Mus musculus: one gene and its partners. The protein of the gene in region 2 interacts with the protein of the main gene of each other region in a biochemical or structural test. Links are inferred from orthologs where the notes say so. Each region holds a gene or a part of one and is shown on either strand. Other genes may lie near its edges.

Region 1 (3,520 bases), on a different chromosome or scaffold from region 2:
AAGCCGGAGGACAGGCGGAATGCAACTCTGTCTGCTCATGGCATAAAGCCCAAGTCATCAAGCGGCAAATGGCCGTCCCAGGGCCTGACTGGCATTTCCTGGCTCTGTGCACCTCCACTGCCTCGAGTGGGCACCATCAGTGGCTCAGGAAACACATGTGGACTGATAGAAGGAATTCAGGAGAAAGAAGCAGAGGTGCATGGTGGCTGCTAAAAATGACTTTTAAAGGGACAGAAAAAAGGAATGGGTGACAAGAAATGAGAAGTCTACCAAGGCGAAGTGCTGGAGGACACAGTGGCTGAAAGAAGGCCGCTGGCCTCTCAGTCACCGCTCTGCTTCTTTCTTCCCTTCCTTCGTCCCAATACCCCAAAGACGAGGATCTATACATTAAAACAAGGGATTAGCATAGAAACCTATCAGTGACTCAGCCATAGCTAGCAAACCCCCAAGTACAACTCATTTTCCAACTATGTTCAAGTCTAAGATACTGTTATGCAAAAATCTTAACTCTTATTTAAAGTGTGAATTAGAAACCTCTCACAAGTTTCCCTGTGTTAAAATGAAGGTTGCCAACAAGCCGGGAACAGGTTTCATCCATCACTGGATTTTCTACTTGAACATCAACGCACAGCGACACAAAACCATCCCGACAAAGCAGAGTTTATTAACTAGTTTCCATGAGTCACACAGCAAATCTATTCCCCCAAATCAATGTTTAAACACAACTAAATACTAATTGTGGTAACCCACAAGACTTCAGCACATCTCTCTGTGCCAGGGACTGTAAATAGGTAAGACTACCCTGCCTTCTAGAACACATAAAAGACCCAATGGGTGAAAAGTGCAACCTACAGCATGTCACGTGCAGTCCTGTGTCACCTAACAGTGTTTAGCCCACACTGGACTATGGGGTGGGGGAGGAGTCAGTCCGTGTTGTCTTACACTAACTCATCATGCTATTAGACCTTCTAGTACTAGTGTAAGCACCAATTCCCAAGGGAAACAGACAACTTACCTGTGATCTGGACATGGGCAAACCAAGTCCCACGGTGTTAGTGCTCATGAGAGAGAAATTCATGCTCTGGGAAGACGTCATGGTTGCCTGGGATGAGCCCATAAGATCAAACAGGTCTGCCGAGTTTGAGGCAGCAGGCGGTGGGCCTAAAGCTGGCTGTGAAGCACTGATAAGCTCCACAGCCGACTGTGGGGCACTGCCGAAGAGCTCACCACCAGAAGCCACAGGGCCTGATGGGGCTTGGTTGAAGGCACTCCAGTCACCAAAGTCACCATTCCCACTTGTTGCTGTTACCAAGACAGAAAGAAGGCAAGGGTGAGAGGCATTCTGAAGTGCCCAGAGCAAATGTAAGCTATATGAACTGCAACTAACTGAAGCTGATGGGAGCCCATGCAGGTTAGCATCTACAGGCCCCAGCACCATCTGGACAGAATCCTTCCTGATGAATATTACAAGAGTGTTCCAAGGTGGCAAAGAAAAGTTAGAACTCTCAAAGTAAACCCACCTCTTGGGAGACCTGTGCATGATACACAAAAAGCACCATGAAATCACACAACGAAGTCTGCATCACCTAAGCACATGGGACTCAGAAAAAGGAGGAGATTCTAAACCGGTTAACTTCCTGTGGGAGTGGAGAGGTACTCCACAATTAAGAGTCCCATCTTTGCTCATTTAGAAGGTTCAAAAAGAAATCAGCCTGCAATTTATACCTACGTAATTTGCAAAGCCTCATGTTCATGATCTATAATTTAATAAGAACAAAATAAACCATGGAGAATAAGAAGCTAGAAAAATAACATGTGAACATTTAATACATTTGTGTTAGGAGGTCTCACTCTGGTTTTTTCCCACTGACTACACATGGGCTACTACTAAGAACAATCTCCAGTATGCTGACTGCTCATTATATTTCAATAAAAAGCAAGGAGAACTCTTGTTAGTTTGAATTTGAAATGCAAGCTGAAGGGGTAGGTATTAAAGACTTGGTCTGCAATCTGCAGCACAGAGAAGCAACTTAGCTGTGCTAAGCGCGTCAGTGAGCCAGTCTAGATGAGTTCATACATGGTAAGCCATTAGGAGGTAGTGCCAGGCTGGAGGAAGGGTGTGCCTTTGAAGGGCATATTTGGCTCTGCCTGGCAGCCTCTCCGCTTCTACTCTAAAGACAGTAGCCTTTCTAATCCAGGCCCACAAGCCTATTTACTTAATTTATATAAATACATTGTAGGTGTCTCCGGAGGATCCAGCAATACCTCTCCTGGGCATATATCCAGAAGATGCCCCAACTGGTAAGAAGGACACATGCTCCACTATGTTCATAGCAGCCTTATTTATAATAGCCAGAAGCTGGAAAGAACCCAAATGCCCCTCAACAGAGGAATGGATACAGAAAATGTGGTACATCTACACAATGGAGTACTACTCAGCTATTAAAAAGAATGAATTTATGAAATTCCTAGCCAAATGGATGGACCTGGAGGGCATCATCCTGAGTGAGGTAACACATTCACAAAGGAACTCACACAATATGTACTCACTGATAAGTGGATATTAGCCCAAAACCTAGGATACCCAAGGTATAAGATACAATTTCCTAAACACATGAAACTCAAGAAAAATGAAGACTGAAGTGTGGACACTATGCCCCTCCTTAGAAGTGGGAACAAAACACCCTTGGAAGGAGTTACAGAGACAAAGTTTGGAGCTGAGATGAAAGGATGGTCCATGTAGAGACTTCCATATCCAGGGATTCACCCCATAATCAGCATCCAAACGCTGACTCCATTGCATACACTAGCAAGATTTTATCGAAAGGACCCAGATGTAGCTGTCTCTTGTGAGACTATGCCGGGGCCTAGCAAACACAGAAGTGGATGCTCACAGTCAGCTAATGGATGGATCACAGGGCTCCCAATGGAGGAGCTAGAGAAAGTACCCAAGGAGCTAAAGGGATCTGCAACCCTATAGGTGGAACAACATTCTGAACTAACCAGTACCCCGGAGCTCTTGACTCTAGCTGCATATGTATCAAAAGAAGGCCTAGTCGGCCATCACTGGAAAGAGAGGCCCATTGGACACGCAAACTTTATATGCCCCAGTACAGGGGAACGCCAGGGCCAAAAAGGGGGAGTGGGTGGGTAGGGGATTGGGGGTGGGTGGGTATGGGGGACTTTTGGTATAGCATTGGAAATGTAAATGAGCTAAATACCTAATAAAAAATGGAAAAAAAAAAAAAAAGCATTAGAAGCTCAAAAAAAAAAAAAAAAAAAAAAAAGAAGAGAACATAAGATCCCATTACAGATGGTTGTGAGCCACCATGTGGTTGCTGGGAATTGAACTCAGGACCTCTGGAAGCACAATCAGTGCTCTTAACCGCTGAGCCATCTCTCCAGCCCTAGGCCCAACTCTTAAATCTATATTGTAAAGATGGAGTAACGACATGTGTCATCATCTGAGGTTTGATACTATTACACTGGATTAACTTGGGCAGTCCAAGTGAGTTCACCA
Region 2 (3,520 bases):
AACCTGTTCTTAATTGACAATGGCTTTTTAAAAACCTGCTTTGACCAGTGGACTAATTTAGCATGGACTGCATGAGAGGCAGCACCTTGAGCTCACGGTTGTCACTGGCTACATGTTGCATCTTCTTCCTCTCAGGTGACAGAAGATGAAGTGCTGGATATTTTAGAAAGTGTCCTGATCTCTAATATGTCCACCTCTGTGACAAGAGGCTATGCTCTCACTGCCATTATGAAGCTGTCTACCCGATTCACCTGTACTGTAAAGTGAGTACTGAGGGAAGGAGAGTTGCAAGGTTGGTCTGTAACTCCCAAGGGTGATGGAGTGTCCTCAATATCACTCTCCACCTTAATTTTTGAGGTAGGGTTTCTTACTTAACTGGAAGCTCACTTATTTGACAAGTTGGCCACAAAGCATCAATAATCTATGTCTAAGGGATCACTTCTATAGCGCTAGGATTATATACTGTCACACTCAGTGCTTGCATGGGAATCGCTTTACCCACTGAGCCACCTCCCTAGCCTGTTCTGTAGCTCATTTGGTATTTTATTTGCCTAACACATACAAAGACCCGGGGCTGATCTTAAGCACTGCAAAAACCAGGGTCTAGATCAGGTGTCTATGATCATCCTTGACTTTATGACTAACTTCACGCTAAAGCTAGTTTATATGGGACTCCGTCTGAGAAGTTTAAAACCTTATCTTAGAAAATTTCAAGAATAGACAAAAATGGGGCTGGAGAGATGGCTCAGCAGTTAAGAGCACTTGCTACTCTTGAAGAAGACCCAAGTTAAATTCCCAGCATCCACATGGTGGTTAACAGCCATCTGTAACTCTAGTTCCAGTGATCCAATATTCTCTTCCAAATCTCTTCAGGCAGTGCACATACATGGTGAGCAGACATATTTTCAGACAAGGCACTCATACACATAAAATAAAAATCTTAGAAAAAAAGAAATGGAAAAAACTAGAGACAATAGTCAAATGAGTTTTAATTTACTTAGTACCACACACAGAATGATCAGTTCATTGCTCATCTTTCTTTTGTGTCAGTATTTTGTTTTGTCATTGTCTCTCCCTACTGTGCATTATTTTGCAGTATTTTTATAGTATAGTTTTATAGTATAGTTTCTAACATTTGTGGTTTATTGGGCTTTTTTTGTTTGTTTGTTTTTTGAGAAATGGTTTCTCCATGTAGCCCTGATAGTTCTAGAACTTTCTCTGTAGACTGGGCTGGCCTTAAACTCAGAGATCTGTCTGCTTTTGCCTCCCAGTGCTGGATTAAAGGCGTGCAGCACTATGCCTGCCTTGGTTTATTATATTCGAAGATGTTGGTGTAGGAATAAAATCCAGATTTGTGTGAGTGTCTTTGTGGGGGGTGTGTGTGTGTGTTTAAATCTTTTGAGTTTTAATTGGTGCTATTTTGAGCAAAAATTGATTTGAGTCAGTTTTCCTGGACTTTTCCGTTTCATTTTCAAAGTGGCCACAACCTATGAGCCAGATAGCTTTGTGAGAAGTGTAATTATTTAGTGTTTAGATTGCTACAAGGATTGTAGTGAGCACGCTAATGCTAAAACCTCATTTTCAAAGTTACTAAGAAAGAGAATTGGACAATATCCATTTCTTTGTGGCAAAGTGATGGGTGCTTTTGTTTGCAAGGGTCTCAATGAGGAGATTGGACGTCAGTCCTCACATGCTGGGCAAGCACTGCACCAGTAAGCTGTGTTCCCACACCTCCAGTAAGCTTGAGGATGGGGAATAAATACCTAGGTAGAAGTTTCTCATTACAATTACAATATTGATAAATGAGTGAATAGAGATAAGGGAATTATAGTTGTTCTTGAAACACAATTTGAATTAAGGAAACATAGAGAAATCAGAAATTTAACCAAGAAACTCTGTTTTGATCATCTTCACTGCTCCTTATAAATTTTGTGTTTTGAATGATTGATTTCATTTATCCTATTATCTGTCCCACAGCCGAATTAAGAAAGTGGTTTCCATCTATGGGAGCAGCATCGACGTAGAGCTCCAGCAGAGGGCAGTAGAGTACAACGCACTTTTTAAGAAGTATGACCACATGAGGTGAGCAAGAGCCTTGCTGTACCCACCTCTGGCACCTGAGTGACATGTCCTTTTTGTCCCTGAAGGACACTTGTTGCTTGTGCTGCATTTCCTTCCTTCTCACTGAGTGGCCGCTTTTCTCCATGTTTTCTTCTTTCTAACCTCCTAAGAAATAAACGTATTGAGTCAGATGGAGGCAGAGGCAGGTGGATCTGAGTTTAAGGCCAGCCTGGTGTACAGAGCGAGTTCCAGGCCAGCCAGAATTACATGGTGAGACCCTGCTTCAAAATAAATCATTAAAAAACAATGTGTTTTTTAGTCTACCTCCCTCCTCTACCTCTGTATGTAAAGTTTGCATCATTTTCCATTTTATTTGGCTAAAAGGCAGTTGGAGTTTTTTTCCAAAAGAATTTTTTTTCTTTATCTTTCTTGAGACATGGTTTCTTTGTATAACCCTGGTTGTCCTGGAACTTGCTCTATATACCAGCCTGGCCCCAAACTCAGATATCTGCCTGCCTCTGCCTCCCAGTGCTTGGACTCAAGGTGTGCACCACCACTGTCAGACCCAAGAGAAATAATTTTATTCAAATCCCATAAATCCCATTATTTGTAACATTTTGGTGCCTTGCTTTTTTTCTTCTTTCTGTTCTATAATACCTAAGTCCTGATTGAAGTCTGCTAATACCTGCTGGGTTACCTTTCGTTTGTCTTAGTTGTGTTTGGGGATTTAGATGTACATTTTATTTATTCAGAGACTCTTGACTGTTTCTAATCCAATTGAGAATGTAGGTCATGTATGTATTCTTGTAATACACCTTCTGTTCCAGTTTACGTGAGTGTATGTGAGTGCGTGTATGTGAGTGCGTGTATGTGAGTGCGTGCGTGTGTGTGTGTGTGTGTGTGTGTGTGTGTGTGTGTGTGTGTTGGGTGGGGAGGGAAGGGGAGATGCTTCCTCACAGTAACTGATAATAGTGGTTGTTTTGTGTAGGGTATGGAGGCTAACTGCCTAGAATGTAATTGACCACTGCAAATTCTTCTAGGTCTGCCCTACTTGAAAGAATGCCTGTCATGGAAAAAGTGACCACAAATGGCCCTTCGGAGATCGTGCAGACAAATGGAGAGACAGAACCAGCGCCCCTAGAGACTAAACCACCACCCTCAGGGCCACAACCCACAAGCCAGGTCCTTGTCTGGGGCTACTGGTGATATTATAGTTCTGTAGCTTATTTCTTAGCTGTTGTCCTTTAGTATTTTTTGATTGCTTGATAATTGCCGTCCTTGATGTTAAGTATTGAGGAGAAAAACTGTTAAATACACTTTAGACAAATAACTCGTGAATAATTATTTCCTTATTTAGGCCAATGATCTATTGGATTTGTTGGGAGGAAATGACATAACACCTGTTATCCCAACTGCACCTACAAGCAAACCAGCATCAGCTGGTGGAGAACTTCTCGAC
Region 3 (3,520 bases), on a different chromosome or scaffold from region 2:
AACAGAAAGTGCATCTTCAGAGTCCTCCTTGCCAACACTGCTGCCACCGATGGAGGGGAGGTCTAAAGACTTCACCGAGGAGGAGTCTTCTTTGGCATGTCTGAAAGCCACGGCTTTCTCTCCCAGGGATTTGTCTGAGCTCGTGGATGAGAATTTACTGGAGTGGAAGTCGGCAAAGTCATCTTCACTCTTGGTGGAGGAAGTGTTCTCTTTGAACTCCTCCATGGCCAGCCCAGCGCCCTCTAGGGACAGCTGTTTGAAGACATCATACTTGGTTGCCGCAGCAGGTGGGTGCTGTGCCCCTTCCACAGTGCTGCTGGACAAGGGGCTGGGACTCACTTCCTCCCTGAGGGCTTCATACTTGTCACTTGCTTTTGGCTCAGATGAAATGGAGCTGTTACCGAAAGCCATAAAATCTGCAAAGTCGTCCTGCTCCCCAGCAGATGCAGGGTTTGAATACTCCCCAAAGAGGTTGAACTCTCCAAAATCATCTGCCAAACTAGAAGTTTTAGTGGATGCCAGTGCTGCTGACGCTGCTGCAGAGCCCGCTGGCTGAGGTCGAGTGGAAACGGACTTTGCTGTGCTAAATGTAGCTGAAAAGGGCACCTGTTTCTCGCCACTGCAATCCACTGAGGAGAACATATCTAGATCTTCTAAGTTCAGAGGGGTTTTCACCTGTGTCTGTGTCTGCTGTGCAGCTCCTGAGGCAAAAGCTGATGGGAAAGTGTCTTTTGTGGGTGGCTCTAGGGGTGACACACTATCGGCGGTCTTGAAGTCAGTGAAGCCATCATCGGTTCCTGTGGATCTGAACTCGGCAAAGCTCTCTCCTGAAAAAAAGAAGTGCAGTTCAGTAAGGATGCAGAGCAGAAGACCATGTGGCACACGATGCATTAAACCAAGGTAAAACCCTGTACACCCATCCTTGGCTCAATGGTAACCACAGTCCACAGCCTTGTGTCTCCATTAAAGCCAGTGATAAGGAAACAGGCAAGCACGGCTCAAGACTCTCTCCTCCTCTGGCCAGAACTGAACCAGAAGCTGGAGGATTCTGAGAGGCACACTGAGAGCTGCCCACTAAACATGAAGCATTATAATGTTTTAAACAAGTTCAAAGGTATCAGTGAAGGACTCAGAGAATCCTGCATCTGGTATTCAGAGTGTACAACTCTGAACTACTAAGCACTTTAGAAAGATTTAGAAGCTGGGCGTTGAGTCACACACCTTCCCAGGACTTGGGAAGCTCAGGTAGAGGGATCACAAGTTGAGGCTAACTTGGGCTACATGACTAGATCAGCTCTCCAACATACCAACCAACTAATCAGCCAACCAATGAACTAACCATCATCAACAATAAATAAACAACCTCATTACTAGATGCTAACAGTGTAGCTCAGTGCCCACTGGCAAACTCATGCATGACACACACTGACACCCATGCACACACACAGGAACACAAAATATTAGAAAGGATACAATGTAGTCTTGCTCAAGTACACTGACATTAATCGGATGTTCTTTTTGTAAAAATCTTTGAGAAAATAACTACTTATCTGCAAAGCAAGTTAAGTGCTCATGTGGAGGTCAGAGGACAGCTGTGTGTGTAGACTCTCTCTCTCTTCTCCTTTGTTTTAAATCTGAGATCTGAACTCAGGCCATCAGGTTCTGCAACATTTTTATCCTGTAGGCCATTTTTTTTCCAGCCCCTGAGAACTTAGTCTTTAAACTTTGGAACCATGATTCTTAATAAGATTTCTACTCTTCACTCATGTCTAATCTTAGCACTTACAATTATAATGTCAGGATGTAGATAACCTCAGTTTTCTTACAATGTTTGAAGGCCTACAATGAAACCACTAGGATAAGCCATTTAATGAAAGCCAGCGATATACCAACTGTGAGTATTGCTATACCAACCAACATCATTTAATATCTATTAACATGATTGCCAATTCTGGAGATTAAGAAATAAAAGCCTAAATTTCTCTGCTACTTTACCTCCACTCTTTTTTTGTTTTCTTTTAGGTTTTGAGACAGGGTTTCTCTGTGTAGCCCTGGCTGTCCTGGAACTCACTTTGTAGACCAGGCTGGCCTTGAACTCAGAATCAGAGATCCAGATGCCTTTGCCTCCCAAGTGCTGGGATTAAAGGTGTGCACCAGCATTGCATGGCTTCCGCGCCCCCACCCCCTCAAATGGACAGTCTACTTTTGTAGTTCTGATTGGCTTAGAATTCACCAGACAGACCAGGCTGGCCTTGAATGTATAACCTCCCACCTCTAACTCCTGAGTGCTGGGATCATAGGCACACACTCTCATCAATGTTTTAAAAAACTGTTTTTCCTAAATGATCAAACATAGATGCATAATGAACCATAAAGTGTACTTAAAAGCCAAACCTTAAAACCAGTTTCTAAAACTGCCACCAAGGAAGAGATGGGCTTTCAACCTATCGGGCCTCATGCATGAGCTACACTTTAATTTACCAAAGAGAAAAAGCACTGGAAACAATGTAATTTTGCTTTTTAATCTGATACTGAATTTATTTACTAGCAAAAGCCATCAACACAAATCCTTCCATAGTATAGAGAAATATGATAAACAAGAGCAGCCTATTTCAAGTTTCCTATAATTTTTGTATTTAAGACATGACATAAGTCAATTTCACAAACTGACAGGAAATACAAATGTGAAAACTACCCTAGGATTTACAGATGCGTTGTCGATGACATTTGTGTTATTTCTATAAATGAAGATATAATTAGTAGTAAACTTTTTTGGGGGTCATTTTTGGTATTTTGAGGCAAAATACATGGTAGCCCAGGCTGACCTTGAACTCATGGCAATTCTCCTACCTTAGCCTCATGAGCGCTATAATTAAAGGCATGGGATACCATGTCCAGATCATGGCCTAAATACAATTTTGATGTGTTGCTTTGAAATATCTGTGAAATTGACAGGTTTTGATTTTTAAACACAAATCGCACAGCAAACTAAACTTACTGATGATGAATTGTAAACTTCTCCATCAGAACTGTGAACTGGGTGAAAGGGTTGAAGGGAATGAGAAAGGAGAGGGTTTATAACTCAACAGCAAAGAGAATGACGTCAGCAAGTTAACTCGCTGGAGTGACTGTTGCCCCTCTGGAAGCTTGTTAGTTGGCTCTCAGATTCTTTTCCAGTTCCTCCTTTGATTTTTGTAACTTTTTAGGCCCTGAGAACATTTTGAAGGAGTATTTAGCTAGAGCTCCAATAAGAAGTATCCTTTCTTTATGCTGACCACTGTTCAAAACTTACATACAGCGTCTGGCTTAACCTGTGAGGAGACATGAAGCTGTCGCGCAGCAGCGCAGGAGACTCATTTCTGAATGAGGTCCTGCAGAGGCCCCAGTCACAGCACTCCCCCATCTCTCTTAGTTTTTGGCTCCAATTTGTTCTATTGCCAAGAATGACCTGTGTTCCTCATCCTCCTGCCTCCACTTCCCAAGTGCTGAGAGGAAAGATCTGGACCTCAAATGGTCCACC

Evidence for each region.
Region 1: the proteins of Ap1g1 (region 2) and Clint1 form a complex in vitro, tested with the Homo sapiens proteins (2 studies listed by BioGRID). The link is inferred for Mus musculus from reciprocal best matches to the Homo sapiens genes AP1G1 and CLINT1.
Region 3: the proteins of Ap1g1 (region 2) and Synrg form a complex in vitro, tested with the Homo sapiens proteins (2 studies listed by BioGRID). The link is inferred for Mus musculus from reciprocal best matches to the Homo sapiens genes AP1G1 and SYNRG.

The regions. Positions count from the first base shown.
Region 1 is NC_000077.6:45,903,963-45,907,482, reverse strand, and holds part of Clint1 (clathrin interactor 1), read right to left. Parts: intron 1,303-3,520; coding exon 1,016-1,302; intron 1-1,015. UniProt on the Homo sapiens protein: Binds to membranes enriched in phosphatidylinositol 4,5-bisphosphate (PtdIns(4,5)P2). May have a role in transport via clathrin-coated vesicles from the trans-Golgi network to endosomes. Stimulates clathrin assembly.
Region 2 is NC_000074.6:109,851,565-109,855,084, forward strand, and holds part of Ap1g1 (AP-1 complex subunit gamma-1), read left to right. Parts: intron 1-135; coding exon 136-263; intron 264-969; exon of another isoform or gene 970-1,977; coding exon 1,978-2,082; exon of another isoform or gene 2,083-2,226; intron 2,227-3,101; coding exon 3,102-3,243; intron 3,244-3,418; coding exon 3,419-3,520. UniProt on the Homo sapiens protein: Subunit of clathrin-associated adaptor protein complex 1 that plays a role in protein sorting in the late-Golgi/trans-Golgi network (TGN) and/or endosomes.
Region 3 is NC_000077.6:84,005,925-84,009,444, reverse strand, and holds part of Synrg (synergin gamma), read right to left. Parts: intron 828-3,520; coding exon 1-827. UniProt on the Homo sapiens protein: Plays a role in endocytosis and/or membrane trafficking at the trans-Golgi network (TGN). May act by linking the adapter protein complex AP-1 to other proteins. Component of clathrin-coated vesicles.